Arabidopsis thaliana: one gene and its partners. The protein of the gene in region 3 interacts with the protein of the main gene of each other region in a biochemical or structural test. Each region holds a gene or a part of one and is shown on either strand. Other genes may lie near its edges.

The links.
Region 1: the proteins of BES1 (region 3) and BIM3 form a complex in vitro, tested with the Arabidopsis thaliana proteins (one study listed by BioGRID).
Region 2: the proteins of BES1 (region 3) and MYB30 form a complex in vitro, tested with the Arabidopsis thaliana proteins (one study listed by BioGRID).
Region 4: the proteins of BES1 (region 3) and BIM2 form a complex in vitro, tested with the Arabidopsis thaliana proteins (one study listed by BioGRID).

The regions. Positions count from the first base shown.
Region 1 is NC_003076.8:15,556,909-15,561,635, forward strand, and holds BIM3 (BES1-interacting Myc-like protein 3), read left to right. Parts: upstream 1-1,992; 5' UTR 1,993-2,174; coding exon 2,175-2,329; intron 2,330-2,427; coding exon 2,428-2,503; intron 2,504-2,582; coding exon 2,583-2,678; intron 2,679-2,822; coding exon 2,823-3,160; intron 3,161-3,648; coding exon 3,649-3,778; intron 3,779-3,901; coding exon 3,902-4,003; 3' UTR 4,004-4,218; downstream 4,219-4,727. Other genes in the region: AT5G38850 (Disease resistance protein (TIR-NBS-LRR class)), read left to right, coding at 7-303, 395-1,522.
Region 2 is NC_003074.8:10,909,285-10,913,697, reverse strand, and holds MYB30 (myb domain protein 30), read right to left. Parts: upstream 2,567-4,413; 5' UTR 2,256-2,566; coding exon 2,123-2,255; exon of another isoform or gene 1,797-2,122; coding exon 1,667-1,796; intron 1,551-1,666; coding exon 842-1,550; 3' UTR 508-841; downstream 1-507.
Region 3 is NC_003070.9:6,686,829-6,690,942, forward strand, and holds BES1 (Brassinosteroid signaling positive regulator (BZR1) family protein), read left to right. Parts: upstream 1-1,706; 5' UTR 1,707-1,851; coding exon 1,852-1,910; exon of another isoform or gene 1,911-2,005; coding exon 2,006-2,276; intron 2,277-2,593; coding exon 2,594-3,337; 3' UTR 3,338-3,583; downstream 3,584-4,114. Other genes in the region: RRA3 (Nucleotide-diphospho-sugar transferase family protein), read right to left, coding at 3,844-4,114. UniProt on the Arabidopsis thaliana protein: Positive regulator of brassinosteroid (BR) signaling. Transcription factor that activates target gene expression by binding specifically to the DNA sequence 5'-CANNTG-3'(E box) through its N-terminal domain.
Region 4 is NC_003070.9:25,939,639-25,944,823, reverse strand, and holds BIM2 (BES1-interacting Myc-like protein 2), read right to left. Parts: upstream 3,196-5,185; 5' UTR 3,021-3,195; coding exon 2,915-3,020; intron 2,745-2,914; coding exon 2,660-2,744; intron 2,399-2,659; coding exon 2,329-2,398; intron 2,246-2,328; coding exon 2,150-2,245; intron 2,014-2,149; coding exon 1,652-2,013; intron 1,525-1,651; coding exon 1,395-1,524; intron 1,312-1,394; coding exon 1,225-1,311; 3' UTR 876-1,224; coding exon of another isoform or gene 677-875; 3' UTR 581-676; downstream 1-580. Other genes in the region: AT1G69020 (Prolyl oligopeptidase family protein), read left to right, coding at 82-298, 387-580, 677-875; MGP3 (male gametophyte defective 3), read left to right, coding at 4,069-4,830, 4,976-5,185. UniProt on the Arabidopsis thaliana protein: Positive brassinosteroid-signaling protein.

The DNA of each region.
Region 1 (4,727 bases), on a different chromosome or scaffold from region 3:
TTTCAGGATGCTAGAATTGTGTCAGGGATATCATTTGATATATCCAGAATCGGCGAAGTTTTTTTAAGCGAGAGAGCTTTTAAAAGATTGTGTAATCTCCAATTCCTCAGGGTGTTTAAGACTGGATATGATGAAAAAAACAGAGTGCGCATACCGGAGAACATGGAGTTTCCACCTCGTCTAAGGTTACTACAGTGGGAAGCATATCCGAGGAGAAGTCTTTCTCTTAAACTTAACCTGGAATATCTTGTCGAACTTGATATGGAAGGTAGCCTGCTCGAGAAGCTATGGGATGGAACTCAGGTTAGTTATCATAAATTCATATCTTTAATGATGTTATACATATTTTCTCTCTATTCTGATGTTTCTACTCTAACATCTGGTTTACATTCAGCCCCTTGCAAATCTCAAGAAGATGTCTTTGTCAAGTTCATGGTATTTAAAGAAACTTCCGGATCTGTCAAATGCTACAAATCTCGAAGAATTGGATCTGAGAGCTTGCCAGAATTTAGTAGAGCTTCCTTCCTCCTTTTCTTATCTGCATAAGCTAAAGTATTTGAATATGATGGGATGCAGAAGGCTAAAAGAAGTTCCACCTCATATCAACTTGAAGTCTCTTGAATTGGTCAACATGTATGGATGCTCAAGATTAAAAAGCTTTCCAGATATTTCTACAAACATCAGTTCACTCGACATATCATACACTGATGTGGAAGAACTACCTGAATCAATGACGATGTGGTCTCGCCTACGTACTCTCGAAATATACAAAAGTAGAAACCTCAAGATAGTAACACATGTGCCCCTAAACCTAACATATCTAGACCTCAGCGAGACTAGAATTGAGAAGATTCCAGATGACATCAAAAATGTTCATGGGCTGCAAATTTTATTTCTAGGTGGCTGCAGAAAACTCGCATCATTGCCAGAGCTTCCTGGTTCGCTCTTGTACTTATCAGCAAACGAGTGTGAATCACTTGAGAGCGTATCTTGCCCTTTTAATACTTCATACATGGAACTCAGCTTCACCAACTGCTTCAAACTAAACCAAGAAGCACGCAGAGGAATTATTCAACAATCATTTTCTCATGGGTGGGCATCCTTACCTGGAAGAGAGTTGCCCACTGACTTATACCACCGATCTACCGGACATTCCATCACCGTTCGTCTCGAGGGCAAGACTCCTTTTTCTGCATTCTTTGGATTTAAGGTTTTCCTCGTGATTTCCCCTAACCATGATGCTGAAGAAACTAGCAATTCTCCCTTATTTTGTCCTCGCATTGGCAAAATCGGTTGCTCCGATGACGAAACACCTATTTATATTATCCCCAAACCTCGAGCAGAACATCTAGTTATGTTTCACTCTGACTTGCATAACAAGGAAAAATGTCATGAAGTAGGCAACGAGATACTGTTTGAATTCAGCAACATATCCGACACCTATGAGATTATTGAGTGTGGTGTCAGATTCTATACAGATGAACAGGTGAAATCAGTGAAAGGAGAAATGAATATGAAATAGACCAAGTTTGTGAAGATGAAAACGATTGGAGCTATGAGTTTGGACCCGTGGAAGCATTGGAATGCTCTAAAAATAATGGACATAATGATAGCCTAATCTGTACTTCGAACGAAGACAAGATCGAAGCCAACAAATACACAGATTGTTGGAGTTGGCTCATCATCTGTTTTGATGTCTCCCATATTGTGAGAAGCATCGGAAGTTTAGTTTGGGGAGGAAGATGAGAGAAGCAAGAAGGAGAATATCAAAGTGGAGAAGTCGAACGAATTTGCAAGTGAGGAAAGAATATCTGTTTATACTTTACAATGACTTGTTTGGCTGCTTCACTGAGTTGGATATGATGAGTAGTAGCATCATACTGTTTGAATTCGGATGCAGCAAATATTACTGAAATGCAGTGTACGGATCGTGAAAACTGACAAAATTGATAGTAGCAACAACAGTGAATTAATTTGGGCCTGAAACTATCCGTTTTAAATGGGCTTTTGAGCCTTTCACATTATCTATGTAATTTTCGATTTTATCTTCCTTTTCTTTTCACCTTCTCGACGAACACACCTACACAAAAATCAATCACAGTCTCTGTCTCACTCGCCGGAGTTTCGGTCACTGCGCCATCTCCGGGGTCGAGTTCGTCGTACTTCATCGAACTATGAACTCTCATGATATCGATGATCAGTTAGAAGCAGATGTATACAGTAACTTGCCTTCTCGAAATGATTCTTCAACAGGGAGGAGAAATCGAAACTCGTGTAGATCGAAACACTCAGAGACTGAGCAACGAAGAAGAAGCAAAATCAATGAAAGGTAAATAATAAGTGTTCAAAGTTTGAATTTTTATCAGATTTTCTAAAAAGGGTAACAAGAAAGTTTCGTAATTTGTGATTGTTGGTTGGTGGATACAGATTTCAGAGTTTAATGGATATTATACCTCAGAATCAGAATGATCAGAAACGAGATAAAGCTTCTTTCTTGTTGGAGGTTAGTAAAATTTATAGTTTTGAACAGAACATGTGTTTCAGAGAATCAGAATGATGTTTGCTTTTATATGTTGTCTCAGGTTATAGAGTATATTCACTTTCTTCAAGAAAAAGTTCACATGTATGAAGATTCTCACCAAATGTGGTATCAATCCCCAACCAAATTGATTCCTTGGGTATATTCCTTCTCCTATCTTTGGTTGGTTTTCTGTTATATTGAATCGTTTTTGTTACATTTTTTTAGAGAAACATGGTTATTGTGTTAAGTGTTTCATCTTTCTTGGTATTTTTGACAACTGTTTCATGTAACTTTGATGCAGAGAAATAGTCATGGGTCTGTTGCGGAGGAAAATGACCATCCTCAAATCGTTAAAAGCTTTTCAAGTAATGATAAAGTTGCTGCTTCTTCGGGTTTTCTCTTGGATACGTACAATTCAGTAAATCCTGATATTGACTCAGCAGTTAGCACCAAGATTCCTGAACACAGTCCTGTTTCAGCAGTTTCATCGTATCTACGTACCGAGCCTTCGCTGCAGTTTGTTCAGCATGACTTTTGGCAACCAAAAACAAGTTGTGGAACAATTAACTGTTTTACAAATGAATTGTTAACATCTGACGAAAAAACATCAGCCAGCTTGTCCACTGTCTGCTCACAAAGGTAAGACATATGTAGAGCAAAATAAAGCTTTTTTTGTTCAGTAATTAATTCATTTTTTTGGTAGAAAGTTTGGGTTGGTATATAGTTTCTCACGGATGTACACTCATTTCCTTCCTGTCTGGCTCTCCTTAAACAGTGGCTTACCTTTTTTGGATACTAAGAGAGAATGATATAATACAAGGTTCCAATGATGCCTCAGCTATTTGCGGAGACTTCTTGTTTGCCTTGGCTATGAAGTTCTGTAGGATAGAGTATGAGATAAATGCTGTAAACTTGGTAATTGTTAGAGGAAAAGATTTTGCATAACCATAATCCAAAGTTTCTCTTTTGAATAGTGCTTCTCTCTCCTAAATAGGTAGTCATTCAAACTGAAGATCCTATCTGCTTCTGTATTTGGAACAGACTCAGGGTTCTAAAAACGGATAACTGGAGGAAATAAAGATGGAGAGATTTGATTGAAAACTCTTGTTTGGTTTGATTGTGAACAGGGTACTTAACACTCTAACTGAAGCACTTAAGTCATCGGGTGTTAACATGTCAGAGACCATGATATCTGTGCAGTTAAGCCTTCGGAAAAGAGAAGATCGCGAGTATTCTGTTGCTGCGTTTGCTTCTGAGGTATGCCTGTAACATTTTTACAGTGGAAAAGAAAAAGAAGTCTACTACTCTGCAAGTAATTCTTATAAAAACATTTCTATGTATTTTAATTTGTATTTTGATGCTATGTATCTTTTTCATTAGGATAATGGTAATAGCATCGCTGATGAAGAAGGGGACTCTCCTACTGAAACTAGAAGCTTCTGCAATGATATTGATCATTCCCAGAAGAGAATAAGACGATAAGATCTGGTTTTCTATTTTCTATGTTATGACAACTGTTTGATAATTTTGTTACTTTCGGTGAGTCAGGATCAGTAGGTGTAGATACTACTTTTATCGTGCTGCAACTATTTTAAATGATATAGTAAAAACTAAGTAGAATGATGTAACAAGTTTCGCAAATCTATAACAAGAGTTTGCTCCATTTAATGGTACTTTAAGTATATGGTCTCTTAGATATATCACTTCTTGCCCTTCTATTTCTCACACTATTAACCGGGAAATTATTTCGTGCTTGTTGACATGTCTGTATCAAGTAATGCGTTTGATTTGCAGAAAGGAGTCCTTGTTTTCTTGTGTCTCAAGCTTGATTTGAGCTAGAGTATCTAGATCTTTAGATTCAAGAACAGATGCAATATTCTGTAGAAGTTGAAAACTCATCTTTATTCTTTAACCTTATGTAAATATGACTGTCTATACAACAGATAGTTCATCTCTCGACTAAATGTTTGGTATATATATGTATATATTATGATACTCTTGTTCGATTAAGGAGGCTGTTTGTTTGCTGAAGGAGATGAAGCAGGAGGAGGGCCAGGTTTGTTTGGTGGTGGTAGGAATGGGAATGGAGGAAATGGAAAGATCGACGGAGGTGGAGGAGGAGGAGGAGGAGGTGGTGGTGGTGGATTTAGGCCTGGAAAGATCGGTGGCAGTGGAGGAAAGAGAGACCATGGTGGAGGAGGAGTGG
Region 2 (4,413 bases), on a different chromosome or scaffold from region 3:
CTCACAAGGTCACAAGAAAGAAAGTCAAACTTTAATTCTTCATCACTTTCAATATTTATAGTGCCAATCCATCCCGTTTTTAAAATTTATATTTATCTTTTTATAATTAGTTTCTTTAAACCTTGTCGGCCCTATTTATTTCATGCAATAAATATTTCGTTAATTTTTCTTTACTAGTACTATTTTCTTTATTAGTAGGTCTTTCAAATTCACCAATAGTAAGGCTATCTTTAAATCTAAGATTTCATTTATTGAGCGGCGCCATTTGACACTCTAAAATAAATGTTAAGTGTTTTCCTTAGTGAGTTAACGGTTAATTTAAGGAAAATAAATTGACAATTAAGTGCAAGTTGTAAGTATTTGATTATTAATTCTATATCCCACACTTACTAGGCTACTACACATTAGGACTAATTAATCCGGATATGAGCGAGCATTTTTTGGTCATTCTCCAATATATATATGTAATTTTTTTGTCAGTGTATGTTTAATTTGTAACAGAATTACTTTTAGGTTAACATCTCAAAAGTAAATCATACTTACAAGTTACAAAGCAAAAGAAAAATCAAGCAATAACAACATTTTAATAAATAAAAAATAGATATAGGATTTTACACCAATACTACTAAAATCATTGGGTGGACATTTTTCAGGCCCCTTCAGAATTCACAGGGCCATATATAAAACAACCCCATCATTAATTGTAAATTAAAGAGGGAAAATAAATAAAATTATTACTGATTTATCTCACGATAATCTAAGCGAGTTAATTTGGAAAACCCAAAAAAAAAAATAGAGATGAGGATCCTAAAATTAGAACCATGTGATTAAAGCAAACTCTTCAGAAGAAATTAGTGTTTTCATCCAATAGAATATCACCAATCTGTCCACCAGAATCCTCAAACAACCACTTCTCAAACAAAGACCATTGACTTTGGTTACTGCAGCATCCAGTTATGTCTGGTTTGGTCTCATGATCAGGTGAAACACCAGCCTGTTGATATGAGTGATCAAACTCAGAAAATGACTGAAATGCCCCTGCACACTCCTTCCCATCATCACTCTTGATCACTTCTTTTACCTCTGTAGAAGCGATTTGATCCGCGGAGTTTTGAGTCTTCGGCGAGTTTTTCACCCACCCTTTGAGCAATTTCGCGATATTTTCGGTGCTTGAGGCATAAGTTGTAGATGTTTCTTGCGTCCTAAGAAACCCGCTAGCTGAGGAAGTAGAGCGTCTTGATTCAGCAGAGGAAGACGTTGTTGTCACTGTAGATGTAATGATTGGTGCAACGGCAGGAGATAAAGCCTCAGAGAGAGCCTTTTTCGCCAAGTGGATATCGGTTTGAAGTCGCCTTTCCCATTGGCCTCTTGAGATGTTTGAGTTGGAATTAGCAGAAGAAGACGATGGTGAAGATGAGAGCGAGGAACGGTCAAGTTCTTGATGAGAATCTTGATTGACTTTGTTGAGTTTCTTCTTCAAATGAGTGTTCCAATAGTTCTTAATGTCATTGTCTGTCCTTTGTGGAAGATATGACGCAATTGCAGCCCATCTACACCAAATATTAAATGCTCTCTATTAAAAATCAAAACAAATCTTCTAATTTTCGAAAGAAAATGTGTGAAGAGACAAAATTAGAGAAATTGAAAAGTCATTATTATTTTTTACCTATTTCCTAAGAGGGCTTGGAGATGAACAATCATCTTTTCTTCATGTTCTGTGAAATTGCCTCTTTTGATTCCTGGCCTTAAATAGTTTGTCCATCTAAGTCTACAACTCTTGCTGCATCTAAGCAGCCCTGAAAATTTATAAGAACGAACAAATATTGAGAACCGATGAGAAAATATATAAATAACAAGATCTCATGCATTAGATCTTAATTTCATGGTCAATAAACAAAACCCTAATTTCTACATATGTTTTCATTAAGCTGATTCCACAATCTTAAAGACCTAAAGAAGAACCAAATGAAGATCAAAACCAATTTGGAGAACACAAATTTCAATCCAAACCAATTTGATTCCTTGTCTATCTCTCACTCTCATAGATTAAATCCAAATAATATCTACATACAAATCTATAGAGAGGTAGAGAGGAGAGATGATGAATGAAGATTATACATACCAGTATTGGTAGGAACAGCTCTCCAATTACCAGGACCATGTTCTTGGATGTAAGTGACTAAAATGATATCTTCTTCAGGAGTCCATGGCCCTTTCTTCACTCCTCCTTTGTCACAACAAGGAGGCCTCACCATTATGATCTTGAACTCCCTTAATTAACTAATTAATTCTTTATTAACCACTCCCTTTGTTTCCCACTATAACTCTTTGCCAAGAAAAATAGAAGAAAATTGAAACTACTTTAGGTGGTAATGAGTCACACTACCCTTAGTACACTAATTAGTACGCTTAGCTCTGAAATGGATCTAATGGTTAAGCTTGGCGACAAAGGTCTATGTCCACTTCTTCTTCTATATATATATATAAAAGGAGAAAGAGAAATTTGCTGACCCCTCTTGGTCTTGGACTCTTGGGTCTCTCAAATTGTATAGATAATAAATAAAAGTATATAAAAAATGTGTAAAGCATTAACTACAAAAGTGGAGGTAAAGCCTCCAAAGTCAGCTGTGTGGCAAAAGGAAAAGTCTCTACCCTCCATACAAAACCGCGTGGCATTCAATGTGGGCTTGCTTCTTTCAAAAACCCTAATAACACAAACAAAAAAAATATTATTGGGTTTAATAATTTATTGGTTTATGTTATTATTAAAAAATAAAGAATAATGGGGACATGCATGATAACATGATAATGATATATGATATGATATCTCCCTCTCTCACTTTTGATTTATTGCTACGATAATTTTAAGAATTGAATAGTGGCTATTGCATTTATGTGTATTGCATAGGCTTTGTTAATAATAGAAATTAATGAAAGGGTCTTTTGACGAACGAGATTTTCTCTGCGTCATGATTTGCTGTTTTGGTTGTTTTTTTATCAAAACGAATAGTTTTTTTTTTTAAGATATAGAAGAAAAGAAAAAATTGCTGTTTTGGATTGAACCAGTGGGTCTTTGGCCATTGTCAAACTACATGATGGTCTACGTCATTCATGATGTTAGCGACTTCTCCATATATAGATTTATATGCGTTTATATGTATTACGTTACATAAACATATATGAATACATGATGTTGAACGTTTTATTCGGGTAAGGTTCGCGATTAGTGTTAATGGACCACAATTTGAGTTTATAGTAAACATAGTTTTAGATGGAATTAATTGTACGTTACATATGTCGTTATCGTAGGTGGTGAAAAGAAATATAGAGATATTTGTATGAGAATTTGGTATACAAGATAATGAAGATTTTTGGATTTGATAGACACAAGTCATACAGCCACATTAAGTTTTGATGAAATTAATTGTACGTTATATATGTCAATATCGTAGGTGGTGAAAAGAGATTAAGAGATATTTGTATGAGAATTTGGTATAGTAGATAATGAAGATTTTGGATTGATAGACACAAGTCATATACAACTATATCTATTTATGTGAACATGTGTATGTATGTAAATGTCAACAAGTAAAAAGGATGAAATCAATTTGGTTTTCACGAGGCCGGAAGAAAAGGAAGAAGAAGAGACACGAGACTACTTTAATTTCTTCTCTTTTGTCAATGTTGTGCTATAATTTATTTATATAGGTAGGAATTTTGAATGACAATTTGTACAAGTGTGAAATTTTCACTTTGTGGAAAGTTTATGATTTACGTTAGATATAATAATAAAGTTGTGTTAAACAGGCTGTTTAATCAAACATATGGAATGAAACTCGAAAAGGTTTTTGTCTACATAACCACTTTGAAAATGCATGGTCTTTCTTTAATCATAAACAAAACTGCTTAAGTATGTTTTTTTTCCACGTACAATGTCCCGTTTTCTGTTTAACCATTAGTAAAACGGTAAGTAGATATCTTACTGTTTTCATTTGTATTATTTTTATTTACTAAGAAGTAATTTTTATCCATTAAAAATATAGATATATTTTTTAAAGAAATATTAAATTATATTCAAAGAAAAATAACATTTGTACCGTGAAATTGAAATGAGGTACAAGAATTTGCTACTTAATTTCGAGAGTCGAACCAAGTTTGTAATCCTTTGTAATTTTGTTTTGTTTACAGGTTAGATTCGTATCTTTTGGATTTGAAATTTTTTTAATTTTTTTTTTACAAGTTCATCATTACATTGAATTATCACTCCTTGCCATAATATTTTAGTACCAAGTTGCAAATCCGAATTTTTATTGAATGTAATTATGTAATACGAAAATTCGACGGCCACAAAAATGGGAGATGTATACTTTATAATATATTGTAATAGATTTGGTATTTTCTTTTACTAGTATA
Region 3 (4,114 bases):
AAAGGCTGGCTTGGGCCCTCATGATCGTTTTTCTCTATGACTCATTCTCAAGCTGGGGACAGTTAGGAGAGAACCCTTGGAAAGAAGTGGAAGGTTCGGTTCATCGCAAACGACATCGTTTGAAGAAGACAACACTAGAGTAAGCCTGAAAAAAGTATAGTGTTACTAAAGATTATTTTGTCTCAGAACTGTACCATCAATTTAGTAAGCTTTTTCCTTTTCCTTTCATAAACAGATGATGTTTCAGATAAAATTTAAATATATTATCAGTACAGTAAGATTACATACTATATTAGTATCACTATTCTGCTATTCACTAGATTTCTTTTTCTTTTTCAACAAAATATGAATAAAATAAAGGCAAAAGCGTGTTAAATATAAATTCAATAAGTGACTACTCGTTGGAAGATCATATCTGCTTTGATGGGTCTATTTGTGGGGCAAATCCACTATCCAGTTTTCCTTTTGTGTTCAATGAACTATACAATTGTCAAAAAAAAAAAAACATGAGAATTAAAGAAAATCATCATGACCAATGAAGAGCAGGTCCCAACAATAATTCCGAATTATAGGCTCTGATTGTTATAGCAATCAAACAATATGCTTACAAATCACAAAACAAAATTAACGATATTTCCAAATATAGAGCTTTCCAGTTTGACTTAATAATGTTGTGTGAATATCCTCACATTTCCATTTTCGACTCTCTTTAGTAAATTTTGAAGTAGTAGAATGATGTAGAATGTTTTGTTTTATCAATCACACAGTTTTGTGAAATCACGATTTCCATCCACTATTCAAGAAAAACATCAAGTGGAAGAAATAATAAACCAAAACCATCGCAACAAAATGCATATCACGAGTATAGAATGAACAAACTACACTGTCAAATACTTAATTTAGGACTTAAACTTCGCTTTCAGACAACTTGGTTCGGAAACTTGACCATCCGTCATGTTGATATACACAATCCATCTCAAATGTAGTAGTGAATCACTATATCAGCATGTGTTATCAAACGCAAGTTGTCACTAAGATCGGAGCTTCTAGTTCAAAATGTTGATAAGTATTACGAAAGTACAATTGAATATACCAATTATACATCCAAACACGTCCATGCTTCTCCACTCGAGTTCTCTTTGGAAATCTATATAATCCGTCGGTTTGGTATTTTACTAGTTGTACGTAGTGTCTCCCCTCATATGTATTGAGTCTTTATAGTTTGTTGCCTCGTATACGATAGAAAGTAAAGGCTAAAAAACCATACTATTTCATAAAGGGTTTATTTAGTTAACTTTTAATCTAAACCATGTATCACTCCATTTTACGTATATTCGTTTTCACAAATAATCTACTAAATAATTTTGTAATGTGATAAAATTAAAGAATAAACACATGATACATAAACAGTCAGGACAAAAGTAAGCACTCATTTTCTTCTATTCATACTATAGTGAAACACTATTTTATTTTTATCCATATACTATAGTGACAAATTAATCTAATCATTAAATGTTATGAGGCTCAAAACAATTTGTTTTCTTATTTAACATGGCCGATCCCCTCATAAACCAATCAGATGGTGTGTTTTCCGGTCATACTCGTGTAGGACCCACTTCATTACAATGGCCCCACATGTCTCTCTATCTTTTTCTCCTCTTTATAAAATCAGCTCCTTTTCTTACACAGATTTAGAGAAACACAACATAAAACGTACTTCTTCTTCAAAACGCGAAACCACACTGTAAGTTACGTACACCACCACCTATCCTCACCATTCATCATCGACACGTGGCTGGTTTAACTCAAATCAACGGTGAATTCTTTTTGCTTTTTTATTTTAAATAATGAATGAAAAGATTCTTCTATAATTCCAGCGAAGAAGAAAGAAAAAAAAAAGCGTATTCCTCGTGAGCACTAACTTCTCACTCATTCTTCTTCTTCAGCTGAATCCAAATACCCATTTCCATTTTTAACCGTGGTTGGATTGTTTTGAGAGTTGAAGGAAGAAGATGACGTCTGACGGAGCAACGTCGACGTCAGCTGCAGCTGCAGCAGCAGCGATGGCGACGAGGAGGAAACCGTCGTGGAGAGAGAGGGAGAACAATCGGAGAAGAGAGCGGCGGAGAAGAGCTGTTGCGGCGAAGATTTATACTGGTCTTAGAGCTCAAGGTAACTACAATCTTCCAAAACATTGTGACAACAATGAGGTTCTTAAGGCTCTTTGTTCTGAAGCTGGTTGGGTTGTTGAAGAAGACGGAACTACTTATCGCAAGGTCAGTATCAAACGCATTTTTACTTAGATCTGATGTTATCTGATGATTTAGCTGTTGAATCTGAAGATTTGGATTTGAAATTGGTCAAATTGGGATTTTCTTGGCTATGAATTCGAGGTTTTTAGCTGAGGAAGCTCAGTTTTATTCTAAAATTGGATCGAGATTCCTTGCGGAGAAAGTGACCTTTAGGGTTCTTCTTACTAATTTGAGAACCGAATTAGCTTTACTTTCACTTGGTTACTATATTTAGATCTCTCCTTTAGCTTTTGATTGATTGTGACATTGTGATGTTTTTGGTATTGTTCTATGAGCAACAGGGACACAAGCCTCTACCTGGTGACATGGCTGGATCATCTTCTCGAGCAACTCCTTACTCTTCCCATAACCAAAGTCCTCTTTCTTCCACTTTTGATAGCCCCATCTTATCTTACCAAGTCAGTCCTTCCTCTTCTTCATTCCCGAGTCCTTCTCGAGTTGGTGATCCACACAATATCTCCACAATCTTCCCTTTCCTCAGGAATGGTGGTATTCCTTCATCGCTTCCTCCACTTAGAATCTCAAACAGTGCTCCTGTCACTCCACCAGTGTCATCCCCAACTTCTAGAAACCCCAAACCATTGCCTACTTGGGAATCTTTTACCAAACAATCCATGTCCATGGCTGCTAAACAGTCAATGACTTCTTTGAACTACCCGTTTTATGCGGTGTCTGCACCTGCCAGTCCTACTCATCATCGCCAGTTCCATGCTCCGGCTACTATACCTGAATGTGATGAGTCTGACTCTTCCACTGTTGATTCTGGTCATTGGATAAGCTTTCAAAAGTTTGCACAACAACAGCCATTCTCTGCCTCTATGGTGCCAACCTCGCCTACCTTCAATCTCGTGAAACCTGCACCACAGCAATTGTCTCCAAACACAGCAGCAATCCAAGAGATTGGTCAAAGCTCCGAGTTTAAGTTTGAGAACAGCCAAGTTAAGCCATGGGAAGGGGAGAGGATCCATGATGTGGCTATGGAGGATCTAGAGCTCACGCTTGGAAATGGTAAAGCTCATAGTTGAGATGAAGTATACATGAACCTGTTATGTCATGTCGGAAGGAAGGATTGGAGAATGAGAATTAGTGTGTTGTTCATTCAGTTCATGGTTTTGGTTCTTGTTCTAGAATCGATATTCATTGTACCAGTGAGTTTGTTTCACAACGCATTATTTGTAGATAGAATGTTTAAGATGTATGTTTCTATTATCATTCCTTTTAGGTCTTGAAAACATTACAAATATATTACATGATTAAGTGGCTTGAAATGTAAATTATATATCGGATGATGAAACAGAGAAAAACAAGTGAGGCTAAAACAAAGACTTGGGATGTAATAACAAGATCAGAGAGGTTAAGAAAGAAAAAAAAGACTTGCGATTTTAGCCATAAGATACACAAAAATTCATAATACAAAGAGGAAAGTAGAAGGCATGAAGCAGTAAACATTGGAAAAGGGAGAAATATATTAGAATCACAAATGTCAAGAAACTCGGAAAGTTTTTTTTAGCCTATCTGCTTTTCAGGTGAATCATTCAGAACCATCGGGGAAGCTATCAAGCGCGTCTTGCTTACCGTTAACGTAGAACTCAACGACGGCTTGCATTCTATTGAGCTTATCTGGATGGTAATTCACATGAACAATCACTGGTTTCACTTTCTTCTTCAGTTCATGATTCTTTCTTACAGTCTTGAAAAGGACCTTACTGTTCATAAACTCATACATATCCATGACTCTCTTGGATGCATGTAGCGCAGTGTACTCAGGATGTGAAGGATAAAACAGTTCCTCGTTGAAAACC
Region 4 (5,185 bases), about 19 Mb from region 3:
CATTTGCTTCAAGTTGACATCACTTGGTATAATAGTGGTTGATTTGAATGTGCTTCTATAAGAGTTTTATTTTGGCCTCAGGGGAGGAGGCAGTGGGGAGTTTTCATGGCACAAATCCGGAACTAGATCGTTGAAACAAAATTCAATCCAAGATTTCATATACAGTGCTAAATATCTAGTCGAAAAAGGCTATGTGCATAGACATCATCTTGCTGCTGTTGGGTACAGTGCAGGAGCTATTCTTCCAGCTGCAGCTATGAATATGCACCCGAGTCTATTTCAAGCTGTGATTTTGAAGGTAAGAATATTATGGCATAGCAAATGCATTAAGTTGTGTCCAGAATAATCAAAAGCTCAAATCATTAAGGTGTGTACCATTTGGGCAGGTTCCTTTTGTAGATGTATTAAACACATTATCGGATCCAAATTTACCTCTCACACTCCTGGACCATGAAGAATTCGGGAACCCAGACAACCAAACTGACTTCGGATCGATCCTTAGCTATTCTCCATATGATAAGATACGAAAAGATGTTTGCTATCCGTCCATGCTTGTCACTACTTCGTTTCATGACTCAAGGCAAGCTAGCTTCACAAAAGAACCCTTAAACCCATATCTCTTTTTTGTTTTAAGTAAGAATCTTTGGATCATAGTTTGCGTGTGTTATTGGGTCAGGGTTGGAGTATGGGAAGGTGCAAAATGGGTGGCTAAGATAAGGGATAGTACGTGCCACGACTGCTCCCGAGCTGTGATTCTGAAAACAAATATGAACGGAGGGCATTTTGGTGAAGGTGGTCGCTATGCTCAATGCGAAGAGACTGCCTTTGATTATGCTTTTCTTCTCAAAGTTATGGGTCATCACAACAATAGATAAAAGCATCACATCATCTTTGGTTTAGCATCAAATGATTTTATAATAGTCTTTCACTTTAAGGTTAAGAGATTGCTAGCCTTTGATCTCGCTCTCTCAACAAAAAAGGAAGATCAAATCGGAAAAAAATGATGCAATAACTTGAAACCACAAGAGATCATATTTGATAGGTTACATGAATGATGCAGAAGATGATACAAACTCAGAACCACAAAAAAACGCAGAATCTACTAACCAAAGTTTATCTTAACGAGTACTATAGGAACCCCTAGAAGCCGAACAATGTACACGATACAAGGAATCTGTCAATACATTTATATATTCCAGCGCCGTGGAGCCTGAGAGAGAAATGTCACAGTGTTTTCATCCGCTTGTGAGAATGTTCAGATTCTTCCTCAACGCTTGAATCCCTTCCTTGCGTATCATATGATAATGGATTCTGTATAGAAAAATGTATCAACATCATGATATATGGCTATTGTTACAAAACTAAGTATGAAGCATTTCGAACCAACTATTTACCTTACTTGATGGCTCTTCATGAGTTAGACCTTGATTGGCTCGCTTCCCAAGATCGATCTGCACAGAAAGCTTTGCTTGCGACAGATCAATGCCTGCATTCTGGAGTGCTTGTGTTAATGAGCTCAATAACCTGGCCATTTCAGAATTAATGTCTCACAAGATTAGTACACAATGCAGTTAAAAAAAAAGGGTAGAAGCGAACACATCAATGGCAGCACAGTAACAGAAACGAGGAAGACTTAGAAGATCAGACTCACTCATGCGAGTAGGCACTAGAGATGCTAATGGTTCCACCTTCAATAACCAGGTCATTACTTTGGCCTAGCCCATCACTAGTTGCAGGACATTCATTAGCTTGTTCGCCTTGTACCATTGGAAGAATTGGTTGTAGTGGTGGTAATCCTTTGTCGTCTAACTCAGGTTGACTTTCAATCGATATGCCGGTTATAGCTCTTGCTTTGTCAGATTCAATCGGGATTTGCGGTTCTGCAATAATTGCAGGTGTCGAAGTCACAGTGTTGTCTTCAAACTTTCCAGGAAAAGGTATCCCTGGACCAGATCCATTATTTATAGCTACTGGGTGGTTCCCCAAACTTTGAACTCGCCAATGATTATTCCTCTGTTCCAATCAAGAAAACATAACCTTCAGCTAAAAGTCACACAAAGAAAGCCTTGCGGGTGCAAAAACATACTCAGAATCTACAATCACAGAAACTCATTGAGAAACCGACATAAGAAGAAGCTCAAAACTTTACCCATGGCGTCAACTTTGTTGGTTCCTGACTCCAACCTGGATACGATCCTTCATACTTTTGCACCTTCTCTTGTAAATACTGAACATAATCTATCACCTAGAATGGAATAGCGGTATTAAGCTAACAACATCTAAAAGACAGGATATTCGCACAAAGCATCATCAAATACCATGACATACCTCTAAAAGGAATGAAGCAGTGTCACGTTTTTGTTCACTGTTGGGAATTAGTTCTCTCAATATCTGAAATCTGAGAAGAGATTTATGAATTCAGCACTCAGAACAAGAACAATAATTATAATGTAACTAAGTCCTATATCAAACACCACAAAACTGAAGCAGAGCAAAATTCCCAAACACAAGTCCTAAGTATTCTTATGATTTTGTTAGCAAAGTAATTGAATTTTGATTCAGATATCAAAACAAAGAATGTCGCGTTTACTCCTAATCTCAAGTTCTCACAAAAACAACAATCCAAAAAGTTTGAAATCCTCACTTTATATCAACATACCTTTCATTGATTTTGCTTCTTCTACGTTGCTCAGTGACCGAATGTTTAGAACGTATCGCACTAGCTTTATCATTTTCCTTTGAATCTGCTTTCAAAATCAAACACCGAATCACACAGAGACAAAACTTAGAAAAATCTAATCCCAAACTATTCAAATCCATCTCGATACATATCAACAATAGCTCCAACCAAAACACAAATTGACGAAACAACAACTAAGAAAAATTCAAAAGTCTCCCAAATCGAACAATTTACCTCTGTTGCTATGAACAGTAGTGTTGGAAGAAGGACCTTCACGTTTAGAGTTAAAGTCTTCTTCTCCGTAATCTTCTTCCTCTTGATTTCCTTTTCCGGTTCTCATCTTCGCCGGAGAATTTCGACTGTTTATTGTTTTATTTTCAACTTTTGCCGTCGACGAGCTCTTTTTTGTTGCTTATTTGTTTTTTGTTTTTTGGGTGCCTCGTGACTCGGCTGAGTTCTAGTTAGCTGTGGGAGAGACTACGTGAGTTTACTTGAGCTTTTGTCCGTCAGTTTCGTGATTTGGAGACGTGTACGACTTGATGTGATTACCCGGTTAGGCCTCTAAATGAACCGTAGCTTGTGATGACACGTGGGATTCACGTGATAAGACGAGATTCTAACCTATCAGATTTAAGGTGGTCACGTGATGCACGTGGTCTCTTTCTGATCTGTTAATTTTCACGTACTATGTTTGTTTCTAATCGAACGGTGACATATGGCTATGTTTCCAAAACAATACTATAAAGGGCCGAATGGAATTATCAGACTTGGGCCAAACCCAAACTTTACAAAGGAAAAAAAGAAGTAACATATGCCTATGTTTCCAAAACAATACTATACCTTATTCGAATTTATCAGACATGGGCTAAGCCCAAAAGTTACAAAAAAAAAAAAAAGAGTAACAATACTATCAGAGCCAGGTTTCGATCCTGGGACCTGTGGGTTATGGGCCCACCACGCTTCCGCTGCGCCACTCTGATTTGTTGTTGTAATGTTAATTAGGTATATATTTATCATGGTAATGTATAACTCGTGCCAGAATATGGGCTTTGAGCCCAAATAAGAGCGTAACGGATCTGATAAGCGGGTCGGGTTTGACAAGATCCATGAAATGTGAAGCAGAAACCAAAGGTTTTATGAAGGGTTTATTTCGGCGGCTGTGTTTGTACTTCACGGCGCCTTCTCTTTTCTCCAGATCTCTCTTCTCTTCACCCAAGTCTTGTTTTTAATCTGTTCTTCGAATCTGAACTCTTTGATTTCTATGTTTGTATTAATAACTCTACAAAATCAAGTAGCTACATAGCCCGAGATTGTGCTCGTGGAGGCAGTAAACTATCTGAAGCAGCCACTATTACCATTTCGTGGCGATCACAAAAACGATTCAAAAAATGTGGAGGAACATTCTGGGAAGAGCTTCATTGAGAAAGGTTAAGTTTTTATCTGATTCTAGCTCCTCCGGTACTCATTATCCAGTGAATAGAGTCCGTGGGATTCTGTCTTCTGTTAATCTCAGTGGCGTTAGAAATGGTTTATCTATAAATCCAGTCAACGAAATGGGTGGATTAAGCTCGTTTCGTCATGGTCAATGTTATGTGTTTGAAGGGTATGCTACAGCTGCGCAAGCTATTGATTCGACTGATCCTGAAGATGAGTCTTCTGGGTCTGATGAAGTTAATGAATTGATAACGGAAATGGAGAAAGAAACTGAGAGAATCCGTAAAAAAGCTAGGCTTGCAGCTATACCGCCAAAGAGAGTCATTGCGGGAATGGGAGCACAGAAGTTCTATATGCTGAAGCAGAGACAGGTGAAAATGGAGACTGAAGAATGGGAAAGAGCAGCGAGAGAGTGTAGAGAGATTCTAGCTGATATGTGTGAGCAGAAGCTTGCACCGAATTTACCTTATATGAAGTCTTTGTTTCTAGGCTGGTTTGAGCCTGTGCGTAATGCTATTCAAGATGATCTTGATACTTTTAAAATCAAGAAAGGGAAGATTCCGTATGCGCCTTTTATGGAGCAGTTACCGGCTGATAAGATGGCTGTTATCACTATGCATAAGATGATGGGATTGTTGATGACTAATGCGGAAGGCGTTGGCATTGTTAAGCTAGTGAATGCTGCTACTCAGATCGGGGAAGCTGTTGAGCAGGAGGTGGGTTTTAATTTCTCTTGTTGCTTTTGATGCTATTTCATGATGTGTGAATCTAGGAATGTGTCATTGATACATATTGCCTTGTCCCCATGGGGTATGAAGTGTATATTGGTTTGATGGTTTGTGTATTTTGTTACTGGATCAGGTCAGGATCAACAGTTTTTTGCAGAAAAAGAATAAAAAAAATGCAACTGACAAGACGATCAATACAGAAGCTGAGAATGTTTCAGAAGAAATTGTGGCCAAAGAAACGGAAAAGGCGAGGAAACAAGTTACTGTACTGATGGAAAAAAATAAGTTGAGGCAAGTAAAAGCATTAGTGAGGAAACATGACTCATTCAAGCCATGGGGTCAA